Linked DNA regions of Rattus norvegicus. The protein of the gene in region 1 purifies or fractionates together with the protein of each later gene. This does not show direct contact. Links are inferred from orthologs where the notes say so. Each region holds a gene or a part of one and is shown in the gene's direction. Other genes may lie near its edges. The genes, in order: Vamp5 and Stx12.

Region 1 (16,434 bases):
GAATGTGAAGATGATTGTCATCATCTGTGTGATTGTCCTTATCATTCTCATCCTCATCATACTCTTTGCTACGGGCACCATCCCCACTTAAGAGCCCCTCTCACCTCACCCTACTCTTCAGGGGTGATCCTCCCAAAAGTGTGCCAAGAGGGGCCCTCTCCTGCCCTCCTCCCCAGGAGTGCTGCTCGGTCCCTGTGAGGGCCTTCTGCTGCCTCATATGCCCCAGAAGTTCCTTGATCCCCTGGGAGGAGACAGCTGGACTGTGGCTGCACCTCATGGTCCTGAGAGTGGGTTAGAGAGACCCAGAGGACCCTGTTTGTGGCTGGGAAACTGCTGGTGGTTGGTGGGCAATAAAGACCTCTTGGTATCCTTAAGTGTGTGAGGCACTTTCCTCCTGTGTCTTTCGAGCTCTGCCTTTCTGTTTCTCTCTTCCTGAGGATCCCCTCTGCACTGGTTTCTCCCAATCTAGAACCAAGACAGTGCAAAAATAGAGAACACAGGTTTATAGGAGAAAGATGGCGGCGGCTCAGAGGCTTTGCACACCTGGATTACAGATGGCAATCAATATACCCAGCTAGAATCAGTAGTTCATTCTGTCTGTCTGTCTGGCTGTCTGTTTGCCTGCTTGCCTGTCTATCAAAGGATTTTTATTTTATTTTTTATTTTTTTAAGATTTATTTATTTATTATATATAAGTACACTGTAGCTGTCTTCAGATACACCAGAAGAGGGCATTGGATCTCTTTACAGATGGTTGTGAGCCACCATGTGGTTGCTGGGAATTGAACTCAGGACCTCTGGAAGAGTAGTTGGGTGCTCTTAACCGCTGAGCCATCTCTCCAGCCCGATTTTTATTTTTTAAAAAAGAATAACTATGGGGTTGGAGAGATGGCTCAGAGGTTGAGAGCACTGACTGCTCTTCCAGAGGAGTTCAATTCCCAGCAACCACATGGTGGCTCACAACCATCTGTAATGGGATCTGATGCCCTCTTCTGGTGGGTCTGAAGACTGCTACAGTGTACTCATATACATTTAAAAATAAATAAATAAAAAGGTTGTTGTTTTTTTTTTAAAATAGTATGAGTATGTGAATGAACAGCTTACAGAGGCCAGAGGACGATGTTGGTTCCCCTATGTTGTTGTAAAAATATAAAAAATAAAAAAAGTACTGGTTGTCTTTTACCTCGCTAGGTACTGCACCACGGTGCCCCAAGATATCTGGTAGATATCTTGGTGGAAACACATCCCAACTCCGCCTCGGCGGCCCAGTGTCTCCAGCCGCTACACACTTTCCTACACTCAAACCATCACATAAAAGAACACACAACACAGTAATCTTAGATCCAATTCATAAGATATAATTGCCCACTTAAACATACAAAGCCTGTCTCACCTGTGACATCATCCCACACCCCTGGAGTTACAAGTCCAGTCTACCATGTCTAGTCTATGACCTAGGTATAACCCAGTCCACCATGTCTAGTCTATGACCTAGGTATAACTCAGTCCACCATGTCTAGTCTATGACCTAGGTATAACCCAGTCTGCCATGGCTTGGGTACTTGGAACCAAACCTGGGTCCTCTGCAAGAACGGCACTCTTCCCCCTTCCCCTTAGGTATAAGTTTAAATTTGTTTATTATTAATTAAAATATAATTATACTGTGTTGCCCTTTTCCTTTCTTCTCCCAACACCCTTCAACCCATCACCCTTCGCTCCCTCTCAAATTCATGGCTTCTTTTTCTTTCACTGTTATTGTTTTACACACACACACACACACACACACACACACACACACACCTGCAGATTTTGTGTTTGGTGTTGCTTGTATGTAAGTGCTTACAGAGCTGACCACTTGGTATTGATAGCCAGTTAAGAATCTCATCTGTGGAGAATGATTTCTCCTCCTCATCTGTGCTAACATGCCTGGCGATGTCCTTGTTCAGGTCTTGTTTCTGCAGCCATGTTGTTGCACTCTTAACCAAAGAGCCATCTTTCCATCTCTCCCCCTCCCTCTTGTATAGATGTGTATATGTACATCTGTGTAGGCAAATGCTGGTGCCTGTGTCCCTATGTGTGCATGTGTGCAGAGGCCAGAGGTCAACGTTGGATGTCTTTATTGCTCTCTGTTTTACTACCTAGTGGACTCTGTCTTTTTCTTCCTGACTGTTGAACCTACAGAGTGAGAGAGCGGTCTGTTCTGAGTTACAGCTCTAGCCCAGCCCTCACTCTACTTTTTGAGGCAGGGTCACTCACTAAGCCTGGAACTCATCAGTTTGGCTTCCAATGAGCTCCAGGAACCCCTGTCTCCACAGTGCTGATTACAGAAACATGCGTCCAACTTTTACCTGGGTACTGGGGCTTTGAACTCAAGCCCTATGCTTGCATAGCAAGCACTTTCCCTACTGAGTCCTTTCCGGAGCCCTCCTGTTTTTCTTCATACCACACTGTTCATTGTCACATTTCACTAGAACAAGGATTTCCCAGAGATCTTACCATAAAGAGAATTGAAACTCCATAACACTTGGAAGTAGGATGCAGGATTCAGTGTCCTCCTTTGATCCTGTCAGGTCCCTTAAATATTCTCCTGGACATGCTCACAAAGATACGATGATAGGCCATTTAAGACCTGGTCCAAGGCCTCTCGTCACTTCTGCCATGTCTAGTCTATGACCTAGGTATAACTCAGTCCACCATGTCTAGTCTATGACCTAGGTATAACTCAGTCCACCATGTCTAGTCTATGACCTAGGTATAACCCAGTCCACCATGTCTCATCTATGACCTAGGTATAACTCAGTCCACCATGTGTAGTCTATGACCTAGGTATAACCCAGTCCACCATGTGTAGTCTATGACCTAGGTATAACCCAGTCCACCATGTGTAGTCTATGACCTAGGTATAACTCAGTCCACCATGTGTAGTCTATGACCTAGGTATAACTCAGTCCACCATGTCTAGTCTATGACCTAGGTATAACTCAGTCTACCATGTCTAGTCTATGACCTAGGTATAACCCAGTCCACCATGTCTAGTCTATGACCTAGGTATAACTCAGTCCACCATGTCTAGTCTATGACCTAGGTATAACCCAGTCCGCCATGTCTAGTCTATGACCTAGGTATAACTCAGTCCGCCATGTCTCATCTATGACCTAGGTATAACTCAGTCCACCATGTCTAGTCTATGACCTAGGTATAACTCAGTCCACCATGTCTAGTCTATGACCTAGGTATAACCCAGTCCACCATGTCTAGTCTATGACCTAGGTATAACCCAGTCCACCATGTCTAGTCTATGACCTAGGTATAACCCAGTCCACCATGTGTAGTCTATGACCTAGGTATAACCCAGTCCACCATGTCTAGTCTATGACCTAGGTATAACTCAGTCCACCATGTCTAGTCTATGACCTAGGTATAACCCAGTCCGCCATGTCTAGTCTATGACCTAGGTATAACTCAGTCCACCATGTCTAGTCTATGACCTAGGTATAACCCAGTCCGCCATGTCTAGTCTATGACCTAGGTATAACTCAGTCCGCCATGTCTCATCTATGACCTAGGTATAACTCAGTCCACCATGTCTAGTCTATGACCTAGGTATAACTCAGTCCACCATGTCTAGTCTATGACCTAGGTATAACCCAGTCCACCATGTCTAGTCTATGACCTAGGTATAACCCAGTCCACCATGTCTAGTCTATGACCTAGGTATAACTCAGTCCACCATGTCTAGTCTATGACCTAGGTATAACCCAGTCCACCATGTCTAGTCTATGACCTAGGTATAACTCAGTCCACCATGTCTAGTCTATGACCTAGGTATAACCCAGTCCGCCATGTCTAGTCTATGACCTAGGTATAACTCAGTCCGCCATGTCTCATCTATGACCTAGGTATAACTCAGTCCACCATGTCTAGTCTATGACCTAGGTATAACTCAGTCCACCATGTCTAGTCTATGACCTAGGTATAACCCAGTCCACCATGTCTAGTCTATGACCTAGGTATAACCCAGTCCACCATGTCTAGTCTATGACCTAGGTATAACTCAGTCCACCATGTGTAGTCTATGACCTAGGTATAACCCAGTCCACCATGTCTAGTCTATGACCTAGGTATAACTCAGTCCACCATGTCTAGTCTATGACCTAGGTATAACCCAGTCCGCCATGTCTAGTCTATGACCTAGGTATAACTCAGTCCGCCATGTCTCATCTATGACCTAGGTATAACTCAGTCCACCATGTCTAGTCTATGACCTAGGTATAACTCAGTCCACCATGTCTAGTCTATGACCTAGGTATAACCCAGTCCACCATGTCTAGTCTATGACCTAGGTATAACCCAGTCCACCATGTCTAGTCTATGACCTAGGTATAACTCAGTCCACCATGTCTAGTCTATGACCTAGGTATAACCCAGTCCACCATGTCTAGTCTATGACCTAGGTATAACCCAGTCCACCATGTCTAGTCTATGACCTAGGTATAACTCAGTCCACCATGTGTAGTCTATGACCTAGGTATAACCCAGTCCACCATGTCTAGTCTATGACCTAGGTATAACTCAGTCCACCATGTCTAGTCTATGACCTAGGTATAACTCAGTCCACCATGTCTAGTCTATGACCTAGGTATAACCCAGTCCACCATGTGTAGTCTATGACCTAGGTATAACCCAGTCCACCATGTGTAGTCTATGACCTAGGTCTAACCCAGTCCACCATGTGTAGTCTATGACCTAGGTCTAACTCAGAGCCAGAGGCTGAAGGCACTAGTCAGCTTATCAGTTGCTGGTTGTTCTGTGTGTTCTGTTTGTCTTTTGTCTACTCTTGTTCTTCTGGGTCTTTTAGAGCCCTGGATCTCAGTTGTTCTGAGAGAGTGGGGGTGAGCATCTCTCCCCCAGAGTCTCATGGCTAGTCACAGTCAGTGTCACAGGACCAGGCCTATAGCACAATGAGCTTTCTGTCTTCTGGACTCCTCCTTCCCGCCAGGTTCTTTATTACTACTGTTCTTTCCAGGGCCCAGTCTGCCTTGGTGTGTGTGTGTGTGTGTGTGTGTGTGTGTGTGTGTGTGTGTGTGTGTATAGGGGTGTGGGGTGTGGTTCTTGGTTCTACACAACCTTTCCAGAATTAGAAACAACCTGTTGTTGGGAGAATGTGAGAAAAGGGATGGGTTAAGAGAAGAATTCAGGACTCTATAGAGGCCAGACTTTGTAATCATGCTCCTGACTCCACAGAGGGCAGGGAAAGTACCAAACAGTCCCTCTTGGTCTGCTTTTTTTTTTTTTTTTCCCGGAGCTGGGGACCGAACCCAGGGCCTTGCGCTTGCTAGGCAAGCACTCTACCACTGAGCTAAATCCCCAACCCCTCGGTCTGCTTTGATATGAGTGGGCCCTACCCTCTTTATCCTCTGCCCATTCTGAGGTAATGTGTCCAAGTATGGAAACCAGTGGTCTATCCTCACAGTGGCTCAACCCAGGAAAGTAAGTCCCTGGCATTTTGGTTAAGAGAGGCCACATTTAGGATGTCAAGGCTGGGGAGGTGGAAAATGGCTTTGGCTATTTCTCTACAGCAGCTCAGGAAGGCTACACGATGCTAGAAGTGCACCAGCTTCCACAGCACAGGAAAAAGCCTACAAGCTTCTAGTGAAGAGTTGAGAACAGAGAAAAGCCAGAGCCAGCACTTCCAGTAAGAGGCTGCTTTCATTTTCCATTGGAGTGAAATTCATGCAGCAGGGATGGGGGCGTTTTGAGACAAAGTCTTACTTTGTAGCTTTGTAGCCTAGCTTACTCTGTCCTGGAGTTTACTATGTAGCCCAGGCTGGTCTCAAACTCAGTCAGTTCTCCTCTACTTAAGTGTTAGGATCACAACCATAAGCTACAGTACAGTGCCAACTCACTTTTCTGTTTTGTTGTTTTATTTTGTTTTCTGAGGCAGGCTGTCATGTGTAAACTCTCACATTCATCATTCATTATAGCAGGTCGTGATTGAACTTTTGATGGCTCTCCAGTGCTGGGATTTCAGGCATCTCCCACCCAGTCTCATTTATATGATGCTGGAGAGCAAAACTAGAGCTTGGTACAAAATAGGCAAGCACATCCCCAGCATACACTTACAATTTAATTTTTCTCTTAAAACTTCAGTCTTGGGGTTGAGGATTTAGCTCAGTGGTAGAGCGCTTGCCTAGGAAGCGCAAGGCCCTGGGTTCGGTCCCCAGCTCCGAAAAAAAGAACCAAAAAAAAAAAAAAACTTCAGTCTTAATTACTTGTTCTTTAAATTGCTCTTATTTTATGTGTAAAGGTGTTTCCCCTGCATGTGTGACTGCGCACCACATGTGTGACAGGTGTCCTCAGAGGCCAGAACATGGCATCGGATCCCTTGGAGCTAGGGTTACAGGCTGTAATGAGCTGACATGGGGGGGGGGGGCTGGCAATTAAATCTCAGACCTCTGGGGGAGCATCCAGGGCTCTTAACTGCTGAGCCATTTCTGCAGTCTCACATTTTCGTCTTTGATTAAGCACATAAAACAGTATCGTATAATATATCCCTCTGTGAGCATTTTGTGAGATTCAGAGCACCGTGTATCCTTTATAGATCTTTAGACTTTCTGATTGCACCTTCTGCACAATTCTTTAAAAACAACCTCATTTTAACCTTGAAGTTGTCTGGAGGCTGGGATGGGCCAGTGAGATTAAGGGAAGGACTTCTCAGTTCCCAGTTCTGCAAGGAAAGCTGCAGTATCCTCAGCATCTCTTATTCAAAAACTCCATCTTCCTCGAATGTTAGAGGACCATCCAGTAAGGCTGGCATCAGAAATCTAAGAGAAAGTATGTGTTCTCAGGCTGGACAACCTCTGTTTGTTTCCCTTGTAGCAGCTTGCTCTCCAACTCTCTCCCAAACTCACTGTGGAACTCTTCGGGACACCTGTGTAGTTGTCTGTATTTTATTCTCGTACAGAAGGAATGGTCTCTGCTTGGGTACCACTTTGGAAGCTGGCTCAAATCTCCTCCTTTGCCTCTTCTGCCTCGATTGGTTCAAAGCTTGGCCTGGCTGCTGCTGTCACCTTTTATTTGGGGCTGGAGTCCATCCCAACAGCTTTAATGGCTTGTCCATCCACACACCATTGAGACTTTTAGCTCACAGAAACGCCGGCAGCAATTTTAGCGCTGAAAAAAATCTCCATCCCCTAATGTATGGAGATCAGAGGACAAATTGAGGAGTTGGTTCTTTCCACACTGTTAGTCCTAGGGACGGAACTCTATAATCATTAGGTTTGACATCACGTGACTTAAGTCATCTCATTGGCCCCTAGCTTATCATTTTTAAGTGTATAACTCGGTGACATAGAATGTACTACCTGCTCTGTCTGAAAACAATCAGAACTTTGGGGTGGTTGGTGTGCTTTTAATTTCGGGTGAGCAGCACTCACCAAGGTGGCAAACACTCCTCCTGGCTTGTTCATGTCATCTCCTGCACTTAGCACTCAAGCACTCACGAATGCTTTCCACATGATGGAATGACGGAACTCCTGTTGCAGCCCTCCAGATCCAAGAGACATCGTTCCCCAACCGGGCTGGGGTGTCATCGGAAGTCGGACGCCGGTGACCCGGTAGGAGGCGCCCCACCGGCCCTGTCACTACTTTCGGTTTGTCCGGGCCCGGCACCTCTGAGAAGGCGCGCCCCCCTCCCTCTTGGACCGCCGGTCCGCCCCGCCCCGCCGCTTCCTCTGCGGCCGCGGGCACTGAGGCAGCGCGAGGCAGAGGAGCCGGAGCCCGCGATCAGGCAGCGGCGGCAGCTGCGGAGGCGATGGTGAGATGGGAAGGGGCAGAGGGCGATTGTGCAGGGGCATAAAGCCAGAGCCGAACTCCAGGGGCGTGGGTCACGCTGACCACAAGAATCAGTCCCCAACTTTGCAGGCAGCCTGGGAGGGAGACTCCAGAGTGCGCCCCGTCGGGGCGGAGTGAGCGGAGCTGCAGCTTCTCACGCTCCTGAAGCAGTTATCAGCTCCGACAATACCGGGCAAGTCACTTAACCTCCACCAGTCTCCTTTTCCGCGCAGTGAAGTAGGGGCAGCAATACCTACCTTGGTGGGTCCTTGAGAGGTTAAAGTAGATGTTTATGGTCGCTGCTGCCAGGCACTCAGAACCCTTTGCTGAGAAGTGGTAGGTAATGTGATGACCTCTCCAGCAATTCCCCAGGCTAAGAGGAGCCAGAACTGGCCCAAGGGTTGGAAACCTGAGCACATGCCTGGTAGAGGCCCGGTGCTGAAGGATAAACACTTGCCCCGGGGAAAGAAAAAATAAGTTGTTTACTATAAAAGTTCCATGAAGTTATTAGAGGGACACAGGCTGACTTCTTCCTGACCTCTGCCTAGTAACATAATCATGAGTTGAGTCACCTACACTCTTGCTGCAGACTTGTCATTTCCAAAAGTGTCAGGGACCACTGGTGCCTGGATCCCACCTTCCAGGGCGCCTGGGAAGACGCCAGACTGGGAGCAAGTTTAGTACTGAATGGATGTGACCTGGCTAGAGGTGGCAATGCCTGGATGGCCTCATCTCTGGGGAACTGGAGGCAGGAAAGGGAAGTGTGGCAGGAAGGTAGCCCTGAGCTTTGAGGCCACACCAGGAAACTGAGGGAAGCTCTGAGAATGGCTGGAGCTGAGAGCCCACTTCCGAGAGTGCCGGGCAAGATGGGAGGAGGTACGGGATGGTCCATCAGCTGGCTTTAAGCTCTAGGGGAGAAGTTCTGGAAAGAAGGCTGAGCCAGGTTACGTTTATCTGGCTGTTCAGGAGACCCTTGGGATGTCTATAGGTACACTCCAGGCAAAGGGGGTTCAGAGCCTGGGGGGTGCATGCTTTATTCCTTCAGCCTGTCTCCGGCTCTATCATCTATCTTTTCTCCCCACCCCCGTCCCCTTTTCTGTCTCCAGCTCTTTCTTCCGTCATCCCACCCCTCTGACTACCATCTATACCCACCCCCACCCCCAATTTCCCTTCCCTTCCCTTCCCTTCTCTTCCCTGGGACTCATTCAGTCAAAAGGACTTTTTAAAATTAATATCCAGGGTTTTTTTTTTTTTTTTTTTTTTGTGCCCCTGGAGTAGGACAAAGCAGTGACGGGGGGATGGAAATCAGCAATCATCTTTTTTTGCAAATACTGTGGGCATGCTTGTTCACATGTATGGGCACATATGTGTTTAGGTATGTATGGGCACACATGTGTTTAGGTATGTGTAGGCACATACATGTGTAGGTATGTATGGAAGTCAGAGGTTGCTGTCAGGTGTCTTATTTAGCTGTTCTCCACTTTATTTTTGGAGATGGTTTCTGGTTCAACCTGGAGCTCACCAGTTTGTCTAGTCTAACTAGCTGACTTGTCCCCGGGATCAGCCCCCCCCCATTTCTGCCCCTGAGCCCCAGGCTTACAAGCAGACTGCCTGGCTTTCATGTGGCTGCTAGGGATTCAGACTCTGGTCCCCAAAAGCTTTAAAAGATTTTATTCATGTGTATGAATGTGTTTTCCCTGCATGTCCGTGTGTGTGTCCTGTGCCGGCAGTGCCTGTGGAGGCCAGAAGAGGGTGTTGGGTCACCTCCTACTGGAATTTCGGGTGGCTGTGAGCTACCAAGTGGGTGCTAGGAACCAAGATCTTCTAGAAAAGCAGCAAGTGGGGCTGGAGAGATGGCTCAGTGGTTAAGAGCACCGACTGCTCTTCCTGAGGTCCTGAGTTCAAATCCCAGCAACCACATGGTGGCTCACAACCATCTGTAATGAGATCTGATGCCCTCTTCTGGTGTGTCTGAAGGCAGCTACAGTGTACTCATACAATAAAATAAAATCTTAAAAAAAAAAAAAAAGAAAAGAAAAGCAGCAAGTGCTCTTAAATGCTAAGCCATCTCTCTAGCCCCACCGTAAATAACTAAAAAGTATTTAGCTTGCTTGTTTGCTTTTGGGGGGACATGGTCTCATGTAGATCAGATTGATGTGGAACTCGCTATGTAGCTGAGCCGCCATGTCTGAATGGAATTAACTTTTTTTTTTTTTTGAGGTAGTCTTGCTGTATAACCTGCCTTGAAGTTGCAGCAATGCTCCTGCCTCTGCCTTCCAGGTGCTAGTATTTGACACCATGTTCAGAAATAGAATAATATTTTTTTAGACAAGGTCCCGCTAGATACTCTATAGACCTGACTGGCCTCGAACTCTACCTACTGAGTACTGGGATTAAATAGGTCCATGACTACACTCAGCCTAAAATGGTTCTTGGAGTCATTCGTCTGGCAGAACTTGTGCATTTAGTCCCAGGCCTCTCTCCTTTGAACACAAGCTTAGTTGGCAGCATCAAGGGGCTAGTACTCCTTAGCCAATCATCAGGGGCATCAGACCTCACGCTTTCTGTGCGTCTGGTTTAGCACAGGGGTTAGACATGTGACCCTTGGTATCTCTGTCCATTCTACCCTCAGGTTGCCTACTTACCCTGGGCAACTTAACGCCCCTGGGCTGTTATGCAAGGACAATGATAATACTTTCTTCAGTGGGTTATTATGAAGGTTTAGCCAGACACCCACATGCACTGCCAGCTCAGTGCTGGCTCAGGTCCTGTGCCCACTGAAAGGTAGCTGTTACTGTTGTCCAACACTTAAGGCCCATAATCCCAACCCTTGGGGGCAAAGGCAGGAGGACCCCCAAGACCCAGGCCAGACTGTACAATTTATTGAGAGTCTGTTTCATGATTCTTTTTAAAGAATTAAAATTTCTGAAAGGGCTGCAGTATGGGAATTCCTAGGTTCGAATCCCAGTACCACACAAATAAACAAAGATCTCAAGAGCCTGTAGCACCTGATGAAGACAGCAGAGACTGGGCTACAGCACTGGTTCTCAACCTGTGGTCCTCCACCCCTTTGGCAAACCTCTATCTCCAAAAGTATTCACATTGTGATTCATGACAGTAGCAACATTAGAGTTATGAAGTAGCAACAAGAACAATTTTATGCTTCGGGGTCACCACAATGTGGGGAACTGTATTAAAGGGTCTTGGCAATAGGGAGGTTGAGACCCACTGGGCTAGAGGCTGGTTCTCAAAGATCTACAGACAGCTCCTCTCGAAAATAAGAAACAAGTAAAGCATAAGTGTGCAACAGTGAGGCTTTGGCTGGTTGTGGATCTCATAAGAAAGAAAAAGATGACTCTCTTGAGGAACTTACATCCGCACCTGCGATATCCTTATAAGGTCCCCAACACTTCTTCATAAGCAGGGGGTGGTGGGGTTGGCTGAAGCAGTGGCTCACTGGTTAAGAGCATTTGATGCTACTACAGAGAACCTGAGTCAGAATCCCAGCACCCACATGGTGGCTCACAACCACCCCTAACTCCAATCCCCAGTTCCAAGGGACCCTGGGTGCTCTGACTTCCTCAGGCATACATATGGTGCACATACCAACATGCAAGCAAATTTACTAGCTGTAGACCAGGCTGGCTTCAGAGATCTCCTCCTCTGGGATTAAAGGTTTTCACCATCACTGCCCAGATGACTTTTTTTCAACATGTAAATTTGGGGGAAGGAAGTCTGACTGCCTCTCCTGACTTTCTTGGGCACCAGGCACACACATTGTACACATACACATGCACAGGGAAAACATATTCACATAAAGCAAATTACTCATAATAAAATAAATCTTAAAAAAAATTGGCTACTCTTATAGGGACCCCAGGTTTGATTCCCAGAACACACATGGCAGCAAACAGCTGTCTGAAACTCCAGTTCCAGAGGGTTGGACACCTTTTTTCTGGCTTCCTCAGATCCTGTATGCAGCTGGTGCACAGATACACACACAGACAAAACAGCCATGCCCATTCCCATAAAATAAAAATAAATCTTGAGAAAAAAAAAAAGAGAAGTTGGAGGAACCAAGTGTATATGATGGTGTACATCTGTCCTCCCAGCACTTGGGAGGTAGAGCAGGAAGTTTGGGGGTTCAAGGTTTTTTTTTATTTATTTTTTTGGGGGGGTTCAAGTTTATATTAAGCTATGTAGTGAGTTCAAGGCCAGCCTTGAATAGGACTACCTTAGATCTGTCTCAAAAAGAAAAAAGGAAAAAACCCATGGGCTACAGAGATGGCTTAGTTAGAAGTAGTTGCTGTTCCTACAGAGGCCCTGCATCCAGGCTTCTGTAGTCATTTTGGGCGATTCCCATGGTAGGTGCCTGAAGAGCCAGCATAGGTTGTCAGCTCTCCTGGAACTGCAGTTACAGATGGTGAAGAGCCATCATGTGGATGCTGGGAAAGAAACCAAGGTCCTCTGGAAGAGCAGCCAGTGCGCCTAACCACTGAGCCATCTCTCCAGCCCCTATACTTTTTTTTTTTTTTTATTTAAAGATAAATCTTAGGACTGAAGAGATGACTGTTCCCCCAGAAGACCTGGATTTGATTCCCAGAACCCACATGGTGGCCCACAATAATCCGTAATTCCAGGCACACACATTGTGCACATACACTCGCATAGGGAAAACACTCATTCAGGTAAAGAAAATACATCTAAAAAATTTCACATATTTAAAAAAGAGTCAGCTGGGAGGTGATGGCGCACGCCTTTAATTCCAGCGCTGGGGAGGCAGAGGCAGGCAGATCTCTGAGGCCAGCCTGGTTTACAGAGAGATGTCCAGGACAAGCAGGGCTACACAAAGAAGCCCTGTCTCGAAAGCAAACTAAATAAACAAACAAATAAATAGGTCTTTAATATAAAGAAAAGGAGATGAAAATTCGGTCTACATTAGTACTAACTGATGTCATTTATTCAGCATTCAGTCAGGTGAGGCGTTGTTAAGGCTTTTGTTTATATCGTGTCACATAATCTGAGCTAGGATGATGAGGTTTATGAGGTAAGCACGGTTATCACCACAACTTTACCAAAGAGGAAGTGACTGGTCAGAGAGGTCCCATTCTCAGTGTCCGTTACTTGCTGGAAAGTGGCGGAGGCGGAATCTGAGGCAGCACACCTTGTTTTGGGGGGATAGGGTCTTGCTAGCTGAAGCCAGAACTCATCCTTCTGCAGGTTCGGGGGTCCTCCTGTCTCCCACGGCCCAAGCAACGCTTCGAGCATCAAAGTTACAAGTCCTCTCCAGCACACTCGGTTTTCACATGGGCGTGAGCGTGTGGGCTCTGGGAATCTTCCTCTATCGTGTCATGTGCTCTGCCCTCCCCATGTACCAGGGTTCTGTGCAAGCACGACCACACCCTACTTCTTGATTTTAATGACATGGTCTCCGGCAGAGGCAAGGAGATATCTGTGAGTTCAAGCAGCCTAGCTGGTCTCTATATTGAATTCCCTGGAATTGGGACTTCTGAGTTGCAATATGTTGCTGGAATTGAAGGTCTAAATCGTTCCTCCTGCCTCAGCAACAAGAAGGGTATCTTCTTTTTTTTTTTTTTTTTTTTTTTGGTTATTTTATTTTATTTATTTATTTATTTATTTATTTGGTTCTTTTTTTCGGAGCTGGGGACCGAACCCAGGGCCTTGCGCTTCCTAGGCAAGCGCTCTACCACTGAGCTAAACCCCCAACCCCAGGGTATCTTCTTTCTTTTTTCTTTTCTTTTCTTTCCTTTTGTGTGTGTGTGTGTGTGTGTGTGTGTGTGTGTGTGTGTGTGTGTGATGTTAGCAGTGGAACCTATAACCACACACACTAGGCAAGTGCTCTGTCACTGAGCATGTCTAGCGCCACACAGAGGATTGAGAGTGTGTTTTCAGACGAGCCCAGAAAATCCAGAAAGGGGCTCTAGAGGGTCGGGTGTGCCGCTCGGTGTCAGAACAACTGCCCTGCACGTCGTGTTTTGTGGGCCTGGGTTTATTCCCTTAGCGTGGGCTGTGTGTGGGGTGCACATGTGTTGCAGGGGGATAGTCTGTACAGATAGTACCAGTCTGACAAGAACATTCCCTGTGTAATTACCACCCGATATCTGGAAACTACTCCCCTCTACCTCCCTTTGGCTCAAACCCCCAAGTCCTGCTGGATTCTGGCAGGTCTCAGAAATACTGCTCTCCCCCACACCCCTTCCTCTTTACCCTGGGTGCTTTCCTGACCCTGTGGCATCGCCTCATACCCTTGCCAATGCATGGCTTCTCCCCATTGGCTGGCCTCCGGTTGAACTTCTCACTTCTGTTCACTCATGTGTATCTTTTGTGTGTGTGTGTGTGTGTGTGTGTGTGTGTTTGTGACCTTGCTCTATCACTCTGCCAAATTCCCTTGAGACTAGGTTTCTCACCAAACCCAGAGCCAGAATGGCAGCCAGTAAGATCCAATGATCCTGTCTCTGCTCTCCCGGAGCTGGGGTTTTGGGGTGTGCAGCCACGACTGGCTTTTACACGGGCTCTTGGGATCTGAACTCAGGAGCTTATGAATATTCAGCAAGCACTCTCATGACCCACTGACCTTGAGATGGTCTCCTGTAGGTCAGACCGAAGATGGACTTGATTTTCTCTGACCCTCTGGCCTCTGCCTGTGGAATGTTGGGATTACAGGTGTCTGCCACACCTAGTGCATTTTGAGACCCAGGCTGGCCTGGAACTCAGAGCTGCATGCCGCCTCACCTGGCTTGGTTGGCTTTTATCACTTCCTCTGAATTAGTTTCTACCCTTGACTTCCACTGCTTTCCCTAGTCCCACCCAACCTCTCCACCTTCTGCCCTGTCCCTTCCCTAGTGGGCTGTGTCCCTGGCTCTGCAGAATGGCTCAGCTCCATCCCAACTCCTGCCCTTTTGATTTCAATTCTCTGACCCTTATAATCTGTTCACTTCGTGGGTGGCTAGGGTACTTTATGTCTCTGTAATTCTCCTCTGATGGTATCACGTGCTTCTTTTCCTCAGCTCCCTGAAAACAGGGACGACTCATTCAGAAAATGTCATGTGTCTGCCAGATGCCAGGCCCTGGCTGAGAGCAGCACGGCCCTTGCCCTCTGTTTGCTCAGCTCTTCCCTAAAACTTACCCTAGCAATTTATTTTTTACACTGCCAGCAAAAAACTGTATACATAGTCAGGGTTCTTTTCCCTCTGGTTGAGGAGGGCCAATGTGGGCTGGGATCTGGTAGCTGTGTTCCCGGGAGCCCATCTTAGCTCCCAATAGGCAATAGGCCTGGCTTCTCTGCAGAGGGAAAAGGCTAAAGACTGCTGCTAGAGGCACAGCCACTCTCCATTGGATGTGACTCTTATACTGGTATCAGATAACAGGAGCTGTAGCATCCAGAACAGAAAGCCAGAGCTAGAGATGTAGTTCAGAAGGTAGAATGCTTACCTAGGCATGAATGGAACCCTGGGCTTTGATCACTAGCACCACATAAACGGGGTGTGGTAGCTGTAATACTAGTCCTGGGTAATAAGATCAGAAGTTCAAGGTCATTTTGGAGGTTAACCTGGGCTATACAAGATCTTGTCAGAGAGAGAGAGAGAGAGAGAGAGAGAGAGAGAGAGAGAGAGAGGAGGTTAAGGAGGAAGTTGCTGGGGTGATGGCTTAGTAGTTTTCTGCACTTGTCACTGACACAGGAGAACATGAGGTCACATGTCCAGAATCCATCTTAAAAGCTGGGCATAGCTGTACACACCTATAACCTTAGTGCCTGGGGAACAGGAAAAGAGACAGGAATGTTGGTGGGGCTTTCTAGCTGCCAGACTCTTCCAGGTTCAGTGAGAGACCAGCTCTCAAGGGGATTAAGGTAGATGGTGCTAGAGCAGGGCACCTGGCATCATCCCTTGGCCTCTGGGTGCATTGCAGACAGGTGTCCTAGCAGGCACATGTTTACGTGCACTTCACACTCATACACTGTACACACACACACACACACACACACACACACACACAGTCAGACAGAGGCCAGCGAGATGGCTCAATGGTAAAGCGCTCTACACACAAGCCTGCTGACCTGAGTTCAATCCTCAGAATCCATTGTAAAAGTGGAAGGCAAGAGCTGACTCTACAAAGTTGTCCTCTGGCCTCCACAGTTGTGTCCCCCTACAATAATAAGGAGCAGAGTTACCCTCGGAATACCACCAACCTCTAGTGGTGGTTCCTGTGACTAAGTCTTTGTCCATTCCCAAGTCTGTACTTTAGAGTGGGGAAGTTCAAACAATGGCGCCTTGTCCAACAATACAGTCACCACAGTGACTCAGGAATGGGAGGAAGCATGAGTTCTCTTCTCTGCTGCCCTGTGTCCCAGCATCTGAACACCCTCTGTCTCCTTGGTTTGCTTGCCCCACACTTAAAACAGGCTGTTTTTCTAGCTCTTGGGTAAATATTGACCTGTTTGGGTTTCAGATGCCTGTCCCTTGAAACCCTTGCTGGGCTAGATAAGCAAACCAGGAGAACCTCTCTTGAGACACAGAGTTCCTTTTGGATAGGCAATGAGGCAACTGGCCCCTTTATTAGTCCTTGTAGGGATCAGCATTG
Region 2 (16,389 bases), on another chromosome or scaffold:
GGTTGAGGCTTGGCTGTCTCTGCTAGGTCATGTCATTGCTACTGATTCCTGTTTGATATTCCAACGCAACCAAGCTGGACTGCTGGGGTATCCATGAAGTGTTTGTGAGTGGATCGAGCTGCAGCTGCCTGTCTCTGGTGGACGGAGGTTAAAGCATTTAAGAACCAACATTAAAAATAAAGTTTGCAAAAATTAAAGTTGCACACAAGTGTACCCACGCACAGGAAGACACATGTGCACCTACCCACCCACCTACACACACACACATGAAACTAAAAGAGAAAAAAATATAGTTTATTGTAATATGCTGTACTGTGGCACTACATTATGATAAAAATATCTAATTCATGCTCAGGGACTGGAACCTTTGCTGGGCCTCTCGGCTAAAGTTAATAATACTGTTATGGTATTACAGTTGCTAACTGCTACTGTTACAGTCAGTGCTGCCTATTGTAGAGGAGCATGCCTTGAACCTCAGTGTTTTGGTTTTCCTCACTCCTGGGAAAAGACCATAGACTCAATCAACTAAAAGGTTTATTAATTATTGCTAGCAGGGCAACAACCTCTAAGCCAGACTTGAGATCGCTGTGAGAAGGCGGTGAGGGAAGAATTATTTTTTAAGAAATTAAAAAAAAAATGGGTTGGGGATTTGGCTCAGTGGTAAAGCGCTTGCCTAGGAAGCGCAAGGTCCTGGGTTCGGTCCCCAGCCCCGAAAAAAAAAAAAAAAGAATTTTATATTTAATGTATGTGAGTACACTGTCATTCTCTACAGACACACCAGAAAAGGGCATCAGATCTCATTATAGATGGTTGTGAGCCACCATGTAGGTGCTGGGGATTGAACTCAGAACTCTGGAAGAGCAGTCAGTGCTCTAACCACTGAGCCGTCTCTCCAGCCTAGCAGTCAATACTCTTAACCAATGAACTACCTCTCCAGCCCTGAGAGAATTTTTAAAGGGAAACCAGCAAAAGGAGCTTGAGCATTGGCACAGGCAAGCCAGGAGCTGTTTTGCTCTGCCTAGATTAAGTTGTCAAGATGACCTGGATATCTGCACAAGCAGGTTAAAAGAAGACAAAAAAGCAGAAAACAGTCAAACTGCTGTAAAAAGTGTAACAAGTAAATACATGGTCGTGGCTTTACATTTCTGTGTGTGTGTGTGTGTATGTGTGTGTGTGTGTGTGTGTGTGTGTGTGTGTGTGTGTGTCTTAGTTAGGATTTCTTTTTTTTTTTTTGGTTCTTTTTTTCGGAGCTGGGGACCGAACTCAGGGCCTTGCGCTTCCTAGGCAAGCGCTCTACCACTGAGCTAAATCCCCAGCCCCTCAGCCTTCCTTCTTACAGAACCCAGAACCACCAGCCCAGGGATGGCCCTCCCCCGCTGATCACTAATTGAGAAAAATGCCTTATGGCTGAATCTCATGGAGACATTTCCTCAGGGGAGGTTCCTTCCTCTCTGATGACTCTAGCTTGTGTCAAGTTAACTCACAAAACCAGCCAGCACAGTGGCTTTATTGAGTCAGAGTCATTGGGAACTATCTTCCAGAACTTGAAGTCATCCATAAATGGCTAGCGAGTACCAAGATGGGCGCCTAACAGAAAATGGAGGGTTTTAAACTTTATTTATTTGTCATCACACCAGCATTTGGGAGGCAGAGGCAGCTGGATCTCTGTGAGTTCCAGGCCAGCCAGGGGCTACAGAGTGAGACTCTGTCTTGATAAACAATAACAGGGCTCAGCGGTTAGGAGCACTGACTGCCCTTCCAGAGGTCTTGAGTTCAATTCCCAGCAACCATATGGTGGCTCACAACCATCTGTAATGGGATCTGATGTCCTCTTCTGGTGTGTCTGAAGACAGCTACAGTGTACTCATCTATAATAAATAAATCTTAAAAATAAATAAATAAATAAAAATAAATATTAAAAAAGACTTCAAAGTGCTATCCTAGTGTATAAGAGACCAAAATACAAGTTGCAAAATAAAAAAAAAAAAAAAAAAACCGGCCTTATTTGCCCTGGATTTCCTACACAATCCACATTTACTGCCCAAGCTAATATGTAAGTGCAATCCTATGTTTCGTGTCCTCCCATGCCCTTCACATAGAGTAGTGCATGTGCGTGCTGGTAATCTTTAGCTGAAAACAGGAAAGAGGCCGAAAGCCTTAGAAAGTGAGAATCCACCATAAATTACGGCAGTGGCATTTGGACAAAGTGTCCCTCATTCCTTCTCCCATGCTTTCTGGGCTGTTCGGAGACACAGGGCAGCAGGCAGCCCTTTGCGACGGACAATGGAAGACACAGGGCGAGTGAAGTAGAGAATTCAGCCTCCGCCGCTCACTCTTGGCTAAAGGACACAAAGGGGAAGTGTTTGATTTCCGTCCTTAATGTGACATCAGTGTATTATTAGTGACCCAGTGTTTACGAATGCATTCAAACTGATACATTTTAGGGCCTCATGTGGGGAATCTAATCTGTTAAATCTGTGCAGTAAAACATAGGCTTTAACATAAAACTGTGAATCATAAGGAGGTATTAGTTTGTGTGTGTGTGTGTGTGTGTGTGTGTGTGTGTGTTGCTGTGTGTGTGAATGGTGCATGCACATATATACGCAAGTGCATGACCCTGTGTGTGCACACTCAGAAGATGGAGAATTTCTTCTTTTTTTGGTCTTCGCATTAATGCCTTGAGACAGGCTCTCCCACTGATCTTTGACTAAGCTGGCTGAGTAGTGAACTCTGGGGACCCACGTCTATCTGTTCCTTAATGTCTACTTGCAGGCCTGGGCGACAATGTCCAGCCTTTTTTTTTTTTTTTTTTTAGATTTATTTATTTTATGTACATGAGTGTTTTTGCCTACATGTATGTATATGCGCCATGGGTATACTCAGTGCCTGAAGAGGCCAGGAGAGGGCATCAGATCTTAGAGTTACAGTCAGTCGTGAACCAACCTAAGGGTTCTGGGAATCAACCAACTCAGGTCATCTGCAAGGATCTCACTCTTGACGGCTAAGCTATCTCTCCAGCCATGGCATTCAGCTCTTTACCTGGCTGCTTCAGGGATTCGAATTCAGGCTCTTTGTGTAGAACAAAGGCTCTTACCTAATACCCCATCTCCTTGGCCCTCATTTGGGGTTTTTTTTTGGGGGGGGGCGTTCAAGGCAGAGTTTCTTTGTGTAGCCCTGGCTGTTCTGGAACTTACTTTGAAGGCCAGGCTGGCCTGGAACTCTGAGATCTGCCTGCCTTAAAGGCTTGCACTACCATTCCTGGCTCCATTGTTTTTGTTTGAAACAGGGTCTCACCGTGTATTCCTTGATGGCCCAGAACTTACTGTGTAGTTGGTCTTGAATTCAGAGATCTGCCTGCCTCTGCCTTCCAGGTGCTGAGATTAAGGCTGTGTGCCACACTGTCCAGCCAAGATGCCATTGCTTTTAATCCCAGCACTTGGGAGGCAGATGCAGAGAGGTACGCAGGTCTTTGAGTTCGAGGCCAGCTTGGTCTACAAAGTAAGTTCCAGGACAGCCAGGGTTATACAGAAAAACGCTGTCTTGAAAAACAAACAAAAATTCAAACCAAACAAAATACATTTAAAGATAAAAATGGGGATGCTTTCCTTGCTGTAAAGTGTTTATAAAACCAGCAACTTAAAATGAGAATTCACACATAGTATGTGCCCCCAAAATATGATTGTTACTTTATTGAGTAATTAGGAGGGAGAGGGGCTGGAGAGACAGTTCAGCGGTTAAGAGCACTGACTGCTCCTCTAGAGGTCCTGAGTTCAATTCCCAGCAACCACGCGGTGGCTCACAACCATTTGTAATGGGATCCGATGTGCCCTTCTGGTGTGTCTGAAGACAGCAACAGTATACTCACATAATACAATAAATAAAAAAATAAATATTTAAAAAAAAGAGAGGAGGGAGAAATAAAAGTACTTTGAAACCCTTAAAACTCACCAATCGGCTATAGATCTGAACGTCAAGGTTGCTTAATTTGCCTATATTTGAGCCTGGGTTCTCAGAATAGAGCAGAAAAGGAAGTAACGGTTGGGGTAATCTGGCACAATTTAATGTAAATCAAAATTTCTTGCATGATGACCTGGACTTTGGGGAGATACAACATGGGTAGGAAAACTTGTCCAAAGGCATCTCCTATTTCACTTCATTGTCCTGTCTAGCATGTTCCAAACCTGGAGAGATCTGATACTTAAGTCACTATTTATCTGGAGTCAAAGCACTTGTACTAATCATGGCGGTTGTCTGGGGAAGCCCTGAACATTGAATGAAGGGACCTTCATGTTACTGAAGTTGAGACACTGAATTGAGGCAGCATTGGTGATCTTAAAACCTACTTCCCCAAACGTGCTTGGCTTCTAGTAGTGAGAACAGATAAGATTAGATGTAAGCCCTTCCAAGGAGAATGGTGCCTCGATTTCAACTAGGGTCTCCCCAGAGACAGCATCTGGAAGAGGCTTTTCTAACAGCAGGAGAGGACAGGATCGATGTCACCACAGAAAGCTTCCAACTTAGCCGCCTCTTTTTCTCCTGAGCTCCTCAAATGATTAGTAAGGCTTCCGTGGGATTTGTGGGGCTGGTTCATATTGTAGCTTATACCATGTGACCAGTTGTCAGACCCAAGATCTCTCGCCCCCCGCAGCTAACTGCAGGTGTTTGGGGTGTGATGTGGGTAGCTTGCCTCCACCTGAGTGTCCCTGATCTCTCTGATGAAAGAATATACCTTTTCATCAATTACCTGACACTTCAATTTTTCATCCTTGAAAAGGCAAAGTTTGGGGCTGGAGAGATGGTTGAACAGTCAAGAACACTGGCTGCTCTTCCAAAGGACACAGGCTCAATTCCCAGCAACCACACAGCAGCTCACAGCTGTCTGTAACCCCAATTCCAGGGCTTCTGACACCCTCACATAGGCAAAACACCGCTGAGCATAAAAATAATTAAAATAAAAGGAAAGGAGCAGTTTATGGTGTCTATCTGGAGTTTCACCAAAAACATGGCTTATGGCAACTCCGTGGCCCAATCCTCTGGCGAATGTAAGTCTCTGGTCTGTCTTGAAATACTGGGAGAAGAATGCAAAATCATATTCATGCCTCGGGGATCAGGAATGAATTTTTTTCTTAGAACTTTTCCCATAACCTTTTGAATCAGAAAGTCTCTTCTTCCCTTTTACACATCCAGAGTCGGAGTCGGGAGTCAAGCAGTTAGTTATCTGTCACAGGAGGAGGGGCTTTGATGTAGTAGGAGAGGCTGGGGAAGGCAGCCCAGTTTTCGTCGGTGTGGTGCACATTTTAAGTTGGTGGGCTGTCAGCCAAATGCGATCTAACTGGCAATATATCTCATGACTGAATTCCGCAGGAAGGGAATGTTTTTTATTTGTTGGTTTTGTGTGTGTGTGTGTGTGTGTGTGTGTGTGTGTGTTTCGAGACAGGGTTTCTCTGTGTCACCTTAGCTGTCCTGGAACTCACAGAATGGCCTGTATACCAGAATGGCCTCAAAGTTAGGAAATGATATTGACAATGTTCCAGAATCCCTTGAAGTGGGTAAGCACGGAGTACACCGTGTTGGCGGTTGGTTTCGGTAGTAACTTCATTCTTGTTAGAAATGTAGGTGTTGAACAGTTTTCACCATCGAATTCTGTCGGGTACAACAGAATTGTACTGGTCCAATCCCATGCTCGTGCATTCACCTCTGTTTTGCCATGGGTTGAAAAAGCGAGAATTTGCAGGGTGGCTGAGCAGCAGTGCTGCGCCGAGCAGCAGGATGCGGACGAGCATGTTGGTGGCAGGCAGGTTGTTGAGCGCGGGGCACGCCGTCTGTAGGAGACTGGGGTAAGAAGTCAGGTCCTGAGTTGGCTGCATAGCTAGAGGTGTCCAGTCTTGCGAGAACGCTTACTCCCAGCAGTTTGAAAACTCTCAAGACACTACCTACCGTCAGTTCCAGCAGCACACGCGCACTGCGGGATGGGGCGGGGCGTGCGCATGCGCACCGCAATGGGCGGGGTCAGTGTGTACGCAGTCACGGCCCCTTCCCCGCCCTCTCTCTTCCCGGTTTTCCTCTCAGCTACTGGGCCCGGTCAGTGGCAGCTTCCGGTAGGAGCGCCGTGAAGCGCGACCCCGGTCTCTGCTCCGTGTCATGTCCTACGGTCCCTTAGACATGTATCGGAATCCCGGGCCGTCGGGGCCTCAGCCCCGTGACTTCAACAGCATCATCCAGACATGCAGTGGCAACATCCAGCGGATCAGCCAAGCCAGTGAGCGAGGGGACCCAGCCGGGAGCGGGGGTGCGGCCTCAGGGACAGGCCTGGGTGAAGCTGCTAAGACGCGGAGCCGGATCGGGGCCTCAGCTACGGCCAAACCTGAGGCAGCCGCGAGCCTCCACTCCCGGCGCGGCGAGCTGCCTTCTCCCGGGTCGGTCAGGCTCGGGCCCTTTAGGTCCACACCCCTGTCTTCGGGGTTGTGAGTTGACGGTGCTGGGGGTCAACAGAGCCGACAGCCAGAGGGTGGGAGAGAGTGTGTGTCATCTCTAGGACTGTGAGCACAGGGTTGACATGGCGCAGTGGTCAGCCGAGTTTTTCCAGTCGTCCCCGTCTCCCCACCCACCTTGTTTTCCTCAGTTCGGATCAGGGGGGTGCTTACTGGTTGCGACTTTAGGTTCACATTCTGCTCGGCGGTTGGGTCCTCGGACATCAGCAACTTTCAATTAAGGGAAGTGGAGAATGCGTGCATTTTGGGTGATTTAACACACTGTGCTTCCTGGTAATTAATCTGGAAATCAGTCAATGACTGGTATTTAAGGGGGGAGGGACTCCTGTTTTATGGCGGAGAATGCACCGGGAACATTTTAGTTTAGGTTGTCTTTTGTAGCAAAGACGTTTTTAAAATTTCAAAACATGAAGATTTCATTTTCTGCCTGGTACAAAGTCAGTTTGTAACTGCTTACCTTAAAACTCCCTTCTCACCATTAAAGTGTAAAGTGGTTTTTTGAGCCTCAGAATCGGCCCAGAGCCTTGTAAACAGAACAACAGAAGCAATTTTACTTTTAAAATAGTGACAACCATCTATGGGGTTTATCATTGTGTTTTTTTGTGAGCTTAGCTATACTCTGTTAATAGGTAGAGTCAGTTCTAAATTACAATTATGTCCTAAACTTTAAAACATAAGCTATCACTTTGCTTTTACTTTAATTTTTGAAACAGTTTTTCGATAGCTCTGACTGCCCTGCAACTCATCCTGTAGACCAGGCTGGCTTCAAAATGAGAGATCCACCTGCCTCCCAAGTGCTGGAATTAATAATGTGCACCACCACACCCAGCTTGTTACTTTGCTTTTAAATCTAAATGTATACTGTAGAATTTGAGAGGTAGATGATTTCAGGTGGGAAGGGTTAGATTTGGAGGTAGGAAGGATAGTCAGCTTGTCAACCCAGATATTAAAAACACAATAATACTATTGATGACTAGACAGACAGTATGGTACTTTGTGTCCCAGTTTCCTTTTATTTTGGAGCTGTAATACAGGTTAAATCAGAAATTTCTTATTCAAGGGGCTGGCAAGATGGCTTAGGTAAAGTGCTTGCTGCGAAGGCCTAACAACCTGATTTGAGCCCCAGAACCCAGATAACGTGGAAGGAGCAAATTGACTCCACAGAACTGTCCTCTGACCTCCACACTCATCCATACTCGTTCCCTGGCACATAGAGTGTGTGTTTATATTAATTTGTGTGTATATTCCACATATCATAATACAATAATAATAAAAAAATTTTAAAGAGAATTTTGTGCAAGGTGTTGGTGGGGCAGACCTTTCATTCCAGCACTTGAGAGGTAGAGGCAGGCAGATCTCTGAGTGTCAGAGGCTAGCCTGTTGGTAGCGTTCCAGGACAGCCAGGGCTATACAGAGGAACCTTGTTTTGAACCACCAGAAAGAAGAAAAAAAAAGGGGGTGTGAGGGAGAAAGAAAGAAAAATTGTGTTTTCTCAAGACTGGAGTTTTCTCATTGACACTAACCTAGTTTGAATGTCTATCTGTGGGTATTTCATATCTGAGCATTAAGTTGTATAGTAAGCTTAGGAACTGATACAGATTCTTTTAATCACAAGTCTGTGTTCACTTAAATCAAAATTTAGAGTTGAAACTGGGCATAGTTGGCACACAATAGCATTTGAGAGGCCGAAGCAGGAGGATTATCATTACTTAGAGGCAAATCTAGACTGACTAGTGTGTTCAAGGCCATCCTGGGCCACATCTGAGTCTCTTTTCAAAAGGAAAAAGGGATAAGAGGAAGGAGGAACAGAGAAGGGGTTTAAAACCAAAGCCTAGGTGTGATGAGTCAGGTCTGTAACCCTGGCTCTCAGGAGACCAAGGCAAGACAGTTTCCATGGGTTCAAAGCCAGCCTGAGCTATAGAGTGAGTCTTAAAGCAAAACAACGAAGAAAGGTGATGGTGGGGAATAGGAGTGGTTTTCTTGGTGATAGATACTGATTTAGTGCTGATTAGGCATTGGATCCTTAGAGTCAATAATTAATAATGTTACTAGCTGCTGTTTAAGTACATAGTGTGCTAGGCCATATGCAAAGTGCTTTACATGTAATATCCTAACCGGTAACAGCCCTGTAGAGTAATTACAAATATTCCTAGGTTATGAGGTAGGAAACAGGCTGAGAAAAGTTAAAGAATTGCCTAGCTGGGGCTGGAGAGATGGCTCAGTGGTTAAGAGCACTGACTGCTCTTCCAGAGGTCCTGAGTTCAATTCCCAGCAATCACATGGTGGCTCACAACCATCTGTAATGGGATCCGATGCCCTCTTCTGAAGACAGTGTACTCACATAAAATAAAATCTTTAAAAAAGAAAAAAAAGAAAGAATTGCCTAGCTGAATGTGTGTTTTTCATTTCTTTTTGTTTTTTCTTTGTAATATACTCATCTTCTCTGCTAGATTGTTAGCTGTTTGAGGTAGGAAACATGGTTCATTCATCTTTGTTTTTCTGCTGTTTACCTCTGTCCCAAGCATATGATGGGTTCTTTCACTCAGGGTGCAGCGACCATTCTTTGAGCACTGATGTTCACTGGTAAGGAGCAGAGAACGAACTTCTGCATGACATCGTGTGGATGTTTGCATGCATTTACCAATAATATCAAGTCATAGCAGGTGGTGCGAAGGAAATGGAGCAGGCTAAGTGCATGGAGGGAAGGGAGAATTACCATCCCCTGGTGAGGACAGCCTCTCTCAGGAGATGATTTATTTTTTCTAAGACAGGGTTCTCTGTGTAGCCCTGGCTGTCCTGGAACTTGCTCTGTAGACCAGGCTGTCGTCAAACTCAGAGATCCACTTGCCTCTGCCTCCTAAATGCTGGGATTAAAGACCTGCACCACCACTGCCTGGGTAGGATGATGCCTGAATCAGCAGATACCAGAATGGAGGGAGCTTTGTGAGTGGTGGAGAAAGGCAGTGTGTGCTGAGGGCAAATGCAAGGACTTTCAGGGGACAAAGAGTAGCAAGGAGGCAGGCGTGGCTGGATGAAAGGCAGGGAGTAAAGAAGGAAAAGACACCAGAGTGGTAGCCGGGGTCAGGGCACATGAAAGCTTACTAATTGTTTTCAGTTAATTTGAGGGGATGAGGTTTCCCTGTCATTTTGTTTGTTTGGCTTGGTTTATTTTGTGTTTTGAGACAAGGTGTCTCTGTAGCCCTGGCTGTCATGGAACTTGCTCTGTAGATAGACCAGGCTAGCTTCAGACTCTGCCTCCTGAGTGCTTTTTTGTTTTTCGAGACAGGATCTCACTGTGTAGTTCTGGCTAGCCTGAACCTGGCTATGAAACCAGACTGGTCAGGAACTCATAGAGATCCACCTGCCTCAGCCTCTAGAGTGGTGGGACTAAAGGGATGTGCCTATACCAGTCTCTACATTATTAACTGAAAAGCTAAGATCTTTGAACTTTTCGAGGTTTGTTAACTGAGTTTAGATTTTCCCTCAGCTTCTTGGTAGTTTTGTAATGTTTCGGTGAATTTTGCTTTACCTCTCCTGCTGTCTCCTCATCTATGGTTATAATTATTTCATAGAGTTCTGAGAACTGAGATAATTTGCGTGAAATGCTAAGACAGTGCCTGCTACAAAGCGGGTTCCTGTAATTCTCACCCTTGGGAAGTGGAGGCAGGAGGCTGGAGTTCAAGGCCAGCCTCAGCTACATAGCAAGTTTGAGACTGGCTTGGCTATGTGAGACCCTGTCTTAAAAAGGCAAACAGTACCTGCCCCCTACTGAGTGAATACACAAAACATGTTTTCTGTCATTTGGTTCTTTTTGATTAAACATAACAAGCCAATTTTTCTCACAGTTTAATACCTACTTAAATTCTATATTCCTTAATTAAGCCAAGCTTTTTGACCTTGTCCCTAGAGCAGTACTAGTTTGGTGGGATGAAGGACTAGGCATGACACACTTCTCTTTGGACAGTGCCTGGCACAGCAGTGGAATGTTGGCATTTAGTATGTACTTAATTGATTTTTATCGTTGCTAAGTACATTCATTCTTCTTGGTCTTGAGTTTGATAATAATAGCCGTCCTTAGCTGAGTGCTTTTATGTGGCAGACAGCATTCTAAACTTAGCCCATATCATCTTATTTCATCCTCACATCAACCAAAGGAAGTGTCCCTTGTTACTCCCACTTCTTAGGTGAGGAAACAGGACAGAAGAGTGTCATCGTTTTACTCTAGATCACTCAGCTAGGAAGTGCTGGAACCAAGAATCAAGCATAGGCTGTCTTGCTGTCACGCTGCTCCATGCCTGTGATTCTGTCACTTAAGAGGCACAGTCAGGGGGCTGGGGAGTTAGCTCAGTGGTAGAGCACTTGCCTAGCAAGCACAAGGCCCTGGGTTCGGTCCCCAGCTCCGAAAAAAAGAAAAAAAAAAAAAAAAGAGGCTGAGGCAAGAAGATCAGGATTTAGGTCTGCGTATTTTCTTTACTTTCTGTCTTTCTTTCTCTCTTATTTATTTATTCATTCAATCATTCATAGGGTTTGTTTTTTTGTTTTTGTTTTGTGTGTGCGCGTGTGTGTGTGTGTCTGTGTGTGTGTGTGTGTGTGTGTGTGTGTGTGTGTGTGTGTGTGTGTGTGTTTTGGAGACAGGTTTTCACTATGTATTCTTGGTTGGCTGGGAACTCATAGAGTTTTGCCTGCCTCTGCCTCTTGAGTGCTGGAATTAAAGGCATGTGTCACCACACATAGCCTTGTTTTATGTTTTAGTACAACTAATGCTTTCTACGTTAAATATGTTTGTTTATGAGTGTGTGCCTATGGGTAGGTATGTGTTCCGCATGCATGCCTGGTACCCTCATAGGTCAGAAGATGGGAGTCAGGTGGAACTGGAGTTACAGGTGGTTGTGAGCAGACACGTGTGCTAGGAACCAAATCCAGGTCCTCTGCAAGAACAACATGTTTTTAGTGGATTGAATTAGAGCATTAGATTGTCTCAAGAGAATTTTTGTCCCATCTGTGTGATGGAAGCTACTTTCAATGCGGTTAAATAGGTTTGGACTGTAGTTAGTGGGTATTTAGATTTTGCTGATATCTGTTAAAAGTGGATACGAAGTGTTCAAGTTATAATTATTCCTGGTGTACAATAATTGATTTATTATTATTCATCTTTTTTTTTTTTTCTTTTTTTTCCGGAGCTGGGGACCGGACCCAGGGCCTTGCACTTCCTAGGCAAGCGCTCTACCACTGAGCTAAATCCCCAACCCCTCATTTTTTTTTTTTTAAAGAAGAGTTTTAGCCAGGACACACTTTTAAATGGGAGGACAAATGTAAAGTTTAAACCAAATGTAAAGTTTCTAATATTAGGTAGCATTTCATAGGACGTACTCAATTGTCTTTATGTAAAATATTTTTAATTTATTTCAAGTGTATGAGCATTTGCCTGTATGTATATGGCCCTGAAGACAGTCATGAGTTGTCATGTAGGTGTTGGGAATTGAACCTGAGTCCTCTGAAGAGCACTGAACCACCTCTCCAGTCCATATCTAGAGTATTTTACCACGGGTGGGGAAGGTAGTTCAGTGGTAGAGCACATGCCTAGCATGTGTGAGATCCTTGGCTCACTCCCCAGATGATCTACACGTGCAAAATCATATTATAAAATGTTGTATTGATCTACTTCATGTGCTGGGGATTGAACCCAGGGCTTCACATATATGGTTGGCAAGCATCTCCCACTGGAACTGTATCCCTAACAGTAACATGTCAGTCAAAGTGGACTGAGGAGATAGCTCATTTGAGGATCTGAGTTTGATCTTCAGAACCCAGATGTCGTACTTCAAGTGCCAGGCAGACTGAGACAATTGAATCCTTGGAAATCAAAGGCAAGCCAAGGTGTATGACACTTGAGGGATGACCCCTAGGATTGTTAACTGCCCACACACTCCCACACATTTTCCTCACCCCCAAAATAAAACTTTCATTTGCTAGAATTCTTGGAAAAGGAGTGTCCAGGTTTAAAGAGTTGGCTGAGGGTTGGGGATTTAGCTCAGTGGTAGAGCGCTTGCCTAGCGAGCGCAAGGCGCTGGGTTCGGTCCCCAGCTCCGGGGAAAAAAAAAAAAGAGTTGGCTGAGGGGTTAAGAGGATCTGGGTTCAATTCCCAGAACTCAGATGGTGACTCACAACCACCCCTGACTTCACTTCCAAGAGATTGGTGTGTTCCTCTGGTCTCCTCAGGTACTAAGCACACAAGTGGTGCACAGACATACATGGAGGCAAAATACTCATACATATAAAATTTTTAAGAATTAAATAAAAGGAGTGTTCACATTAATCAAGTGGACAGAAAGTCCTTTTAAATTTAATTCACTTTGATAAAAATATCTTTCAAATGTATCATTTTAATATTTTAAGCACACTCAAGTGAAAATAAATCTTTGTGTAAATGTTTCTGTTTTGTGCTTTAATTTTGGGAAGGTTGCAACTCTTGGGTGTAAGCTGTGTGGGCTAGTGGTCCCTAGTTATTAGTCTCAGGTCCTCATGCTGTGCTTACAAAAAGCAGTCTGCAAGCCTTAGTGTCAGGTAAATAAAAGAACCTGTCATCCTTTTGCATTGGATTTTAGGGTGTCTGATGAGTCTAGATGGAAACTTGTAGCTTCTTGGTGTTCAGAAATATAGAAAGAGCCAACGAAGGCTACATTCATGCTAGTGCTTAGTAAGCAAATGACTCCAAACTCCCAAGCTGACTTCCCTAAAGTCCTTAACTAGTAAGTTCACATGATTTCAGCAAAGGAAACCAAATAATGGGGGGAAAGTTCTGTGTCATTTGTAAGTGCACAGAAAACAACTGATTATGGCTGTCTCCATATTCTCTCAGATCACGACAGCTTCCTAGAGTGTGTAATTCTTGGATGGGATGAATCGCTAGTTACACACCCTGATGCACCTTTAGATAGCCCCAGTTTATCTTTTCCCCTTCCCCCAAAACAGTTTCTCTGTGTAGCCCTGGCTGACCTGGAACTCACTCTGTAGACCAGGCTAGCCTGAAACTCAGAGATCTGCCTGCCTCTGCCTGTCCACCCCTGCCCGGCATCAGCCTACTTTCAGAACAGCTTCATTCTGTAGTCCAGGTTGGCCTTGAGGTTCAGATCTCCCCCATCCTCCTGAGTGCTGGCTGGCAGTTCAGGTGTGTGCCGCTGTACATGTCTGCCTGACTCACTCTTCCTTCTTTCCTCTCTTTCTTTCTTTCTTTCTTTCTTTCTTTCTTTCTTTCTTTCTTTCTTTCTTTCTTACTTTTTTTCTTCCTTCCTTCCTTCCTTCCTTTCTTTCTTTCTTTCTTTCTTTCTTTCTTTCTTTCTTTCTTTCTTTCTTTCTGCCTTGGAACTCACTGTGTAGACTACTCTGGCCTTGAGCATACCAACATGGGCCTGCCAAGTGTTGGTATTAAGGAAGGCATGTGCACTATGCCCAGTTTACACCTTGCATTTATAAGATTAGGAAAGTCACACATGTCTATCTCCGAGGCTCACATTCCGGTTACAGAGAAACTCTATGATTATCCACCATACTTCTGGGACTAGAGTGTTTCATTGTAACTGACTTTGGGGCTCACCCGTGTGGGAGGACTTGGAGATCTTTTAGTCCTCAGGAGTAGCACTGTAGTGAGAGGCTGGGAGGTAACTCAGCTGGCACAGAACTTGCTCAGCACACCCAAACCTTAGGCTTAATCTCTAGCCCCACAAAAGTCGGGTGTGATAACCCATGCCCGAAATCACCCCAGTACTCCAGAAGTGGAGGCAGGAAGATCAGAAATTCAAAGCCATCTTGAGTTATGTAAGGAGGCCAACCTTGGCAAAGTAGAAGCCTGTCTCAATAAACTACGAGATTTGGTGAGAAACATTGAAAACTCCACACATGTAATAAGTCTTCAATAAACAGTTAAATCTGGATATAATCTGCAAGTGGTAAAAAAGGCCCAGCAAAATAAAATAACACACTCGGCTCCACACATCTGTTAATGGTCAAGTATGGCTAAGATGTTAAGTCTTTTTATTCCTAATTTACCTTGATTCACATCTTTTGCCTTAACTTGAATGCCATAAAGTTGAAGGGAAGAGGCTGAGTCAGTATTCTTGCACCCTCTGAGTGCCTGGCCCTCTCTGCTGGACTCTAGTAAGTACAGAGGCATATGTATTCCCAGAAATGGGAGGCACTGGGGAGGGAGCAGGTTAGAGTCGGGATATCAGTCTACCTGGAGTTAGGTTAAGGTACTGTCAGATAAACAGGGTGGGGCAAAGTGGAACTCTGGGAAGTCAGACCAGCCCTGTGTGACTGCATTCTATTTCCTTCAAGACTCAGCCCTCGGAGAGTAGCACTATGTGACTCAAAGCATATAGTCTTCGGAACAGCCCTGTGTTTGAGTTCTAGTTATGGCATGCTGTTCATAACCCATCAGTCGCTCGCTGTTTAATTCAAATCTCATTGTAATTGCACAAGGTCCTCTTTGGCCAGCGCTTATCTCTTGCTCACTCAGCTCCAGCGCTGGCTGTCGCACCACGGGAGCTCCCTTGGAGGACTTTGCCCTGGTTAATTACTCTCTTTGCCCGGATGGCCCCTTCCCCATAAGTGCACTGCCCTGCCTTGCATTTTCTTTAGGTCTGTGCTCATTGTTTCCTTATCTGGCCATTCATGTAAGCTAGTGCCCTCTGCCTACTCCTCCGCCCTCACCTCAGCTTATTTCCTTTGGTCGGATTGTTATCGCCCAGTGTGTTTTTATCATCCACCCTTGAGAGCGTCAGCTTCCTGAAGCAAGTGCCTGCTAATGTCTAGGACAGTGTGGAGTATAAGCACGGTTCCCCGAGTGAACAAGTCGGGCCTGTCACTCTTGAGCTTCATTTGCTCACATGAGGCAGGGGCATGCTAATGCTTTCTAGCATTGCTTATGTCCAGTGGGAGCATGCTGAGCCACTAACCCAGTGCCTGCATAGGAGGTGCTCAGAGCTCATGTCTGCTCCTCCTCTCTTTTGAAACAGTTTCAGGTGACTGAGGATGGAAGTTGTTTCTTTCTCCCATGTGGGTTGGGACTCAGGTGTCAGACTTTACAGCAGATGTCTTTAGCCACTAAGCTGTCCAACTACTAAACGATAGATTTTTTTAAACTTCAAACTTGTGGTAAGCAGACACCCACTCTGCTTAGCTCTGGAAGCACCGCATGTGTATTATCTGTGTGATATTGACATTAGACAATAGCACTGGCCTCCTCACTTGCTTGACTAAGCCTGTTCTTCTGTAGTCTCATAGCATGAGTGACGCTTGGACGTTGATCTGGAGGGAACAGGAAAGATGCTTGCCCACGGAGGAACTACCTTCCTCTGTGCTATGTTATCTGTTGAAATTCTGCAACAGCTTGAAAATAGGTTTCCTTTGTTTGCACCTTCTTCCACAAGATAAGTGAGAGTGGAGAAGGAAGGAAAGGCTGTGCTCCATCAGCTAAACACCAGCCTGGCAGTGGTAGTGCCTCCCAGCACTAGGGAGGCAGGGGCAGGTGGATCTGTGAGTTCAAGGCCAGCCTGGTCTACTGAGTGAGTTCTAGAACAGCCAGGATTACAGAGAAACCCTTCCTTGAAAAACTAAAACAAACAACAAACAAAATTAGTTGTAAACTACTTCATGTGGACAAACTAAGAATGGTCTGTTAATGAGTTCTGTTCATGAGTTTGCTTGTATGAGGTCCTGGGTTCAATTATTAAGGAGACAGACAGATAGACAGACAGACAGTCAGACAGCATACACACACATACATACATATAATAGACAATTATCCACCAACTTAGTAAATCTCCCCCCACCTCCTCTGACAGCCCGGGAGAGAGAATAGAAAGCAAGGCAAGAGGAAAGCCAGGGCTCTGTCTGCGTT

Evidence for each region.
Region 2: the proteins of Vamp5 (region 1) and Stx12 purify together in Homo sapiens (affinity purification with mass spectrometry; 3 studies listed by BioGRID and IntAct, with this or other methods). This does not show direct contact. The link is inferred for Rattus norvegicus from reciprocal best matches to the Homo sapiens genes VAMP5 and STX12.

Annotation. Positions count from the first base shown.
Region 1 is NC_086022.1:105,984,514-106,000,947, reverse strand, and holds the start of Vamp5 (vesicle-associated membrane protein 5), read left to right. Parts: upstream 1-7,700; 5' UTR 7,701-7,813; coding exon 7,814-7,816; intron 7,817-16,434. Other genes in the region: Vamp8 (vesicle-associated membrane protein 8), read left to right, coding at 1-91. UniProt on the Homo sapiens protein: May participate in trafficking events that are associated with myogenesis, such as myoblast fusion and/or GLUT4 trafficking.
Region 2 is NC_086023.1:150,366,021-150,382,409, reverse strand, and holds the start of Stx12 (syntaxin-12), read left to right. Parts: upstream 1-6,063; 5' UTR 6,064-6,141; coding exon 6,142-6,259; intron 6,260-16,389. UniProt on the Homo sapiens protein: SNARE promoting fusion of transport vesicles with target membranes. Together with SNARE STX6, promotes movement of vesicles from endosomes to the cell membrane, and may therefore function in the endocytic recycling pathway.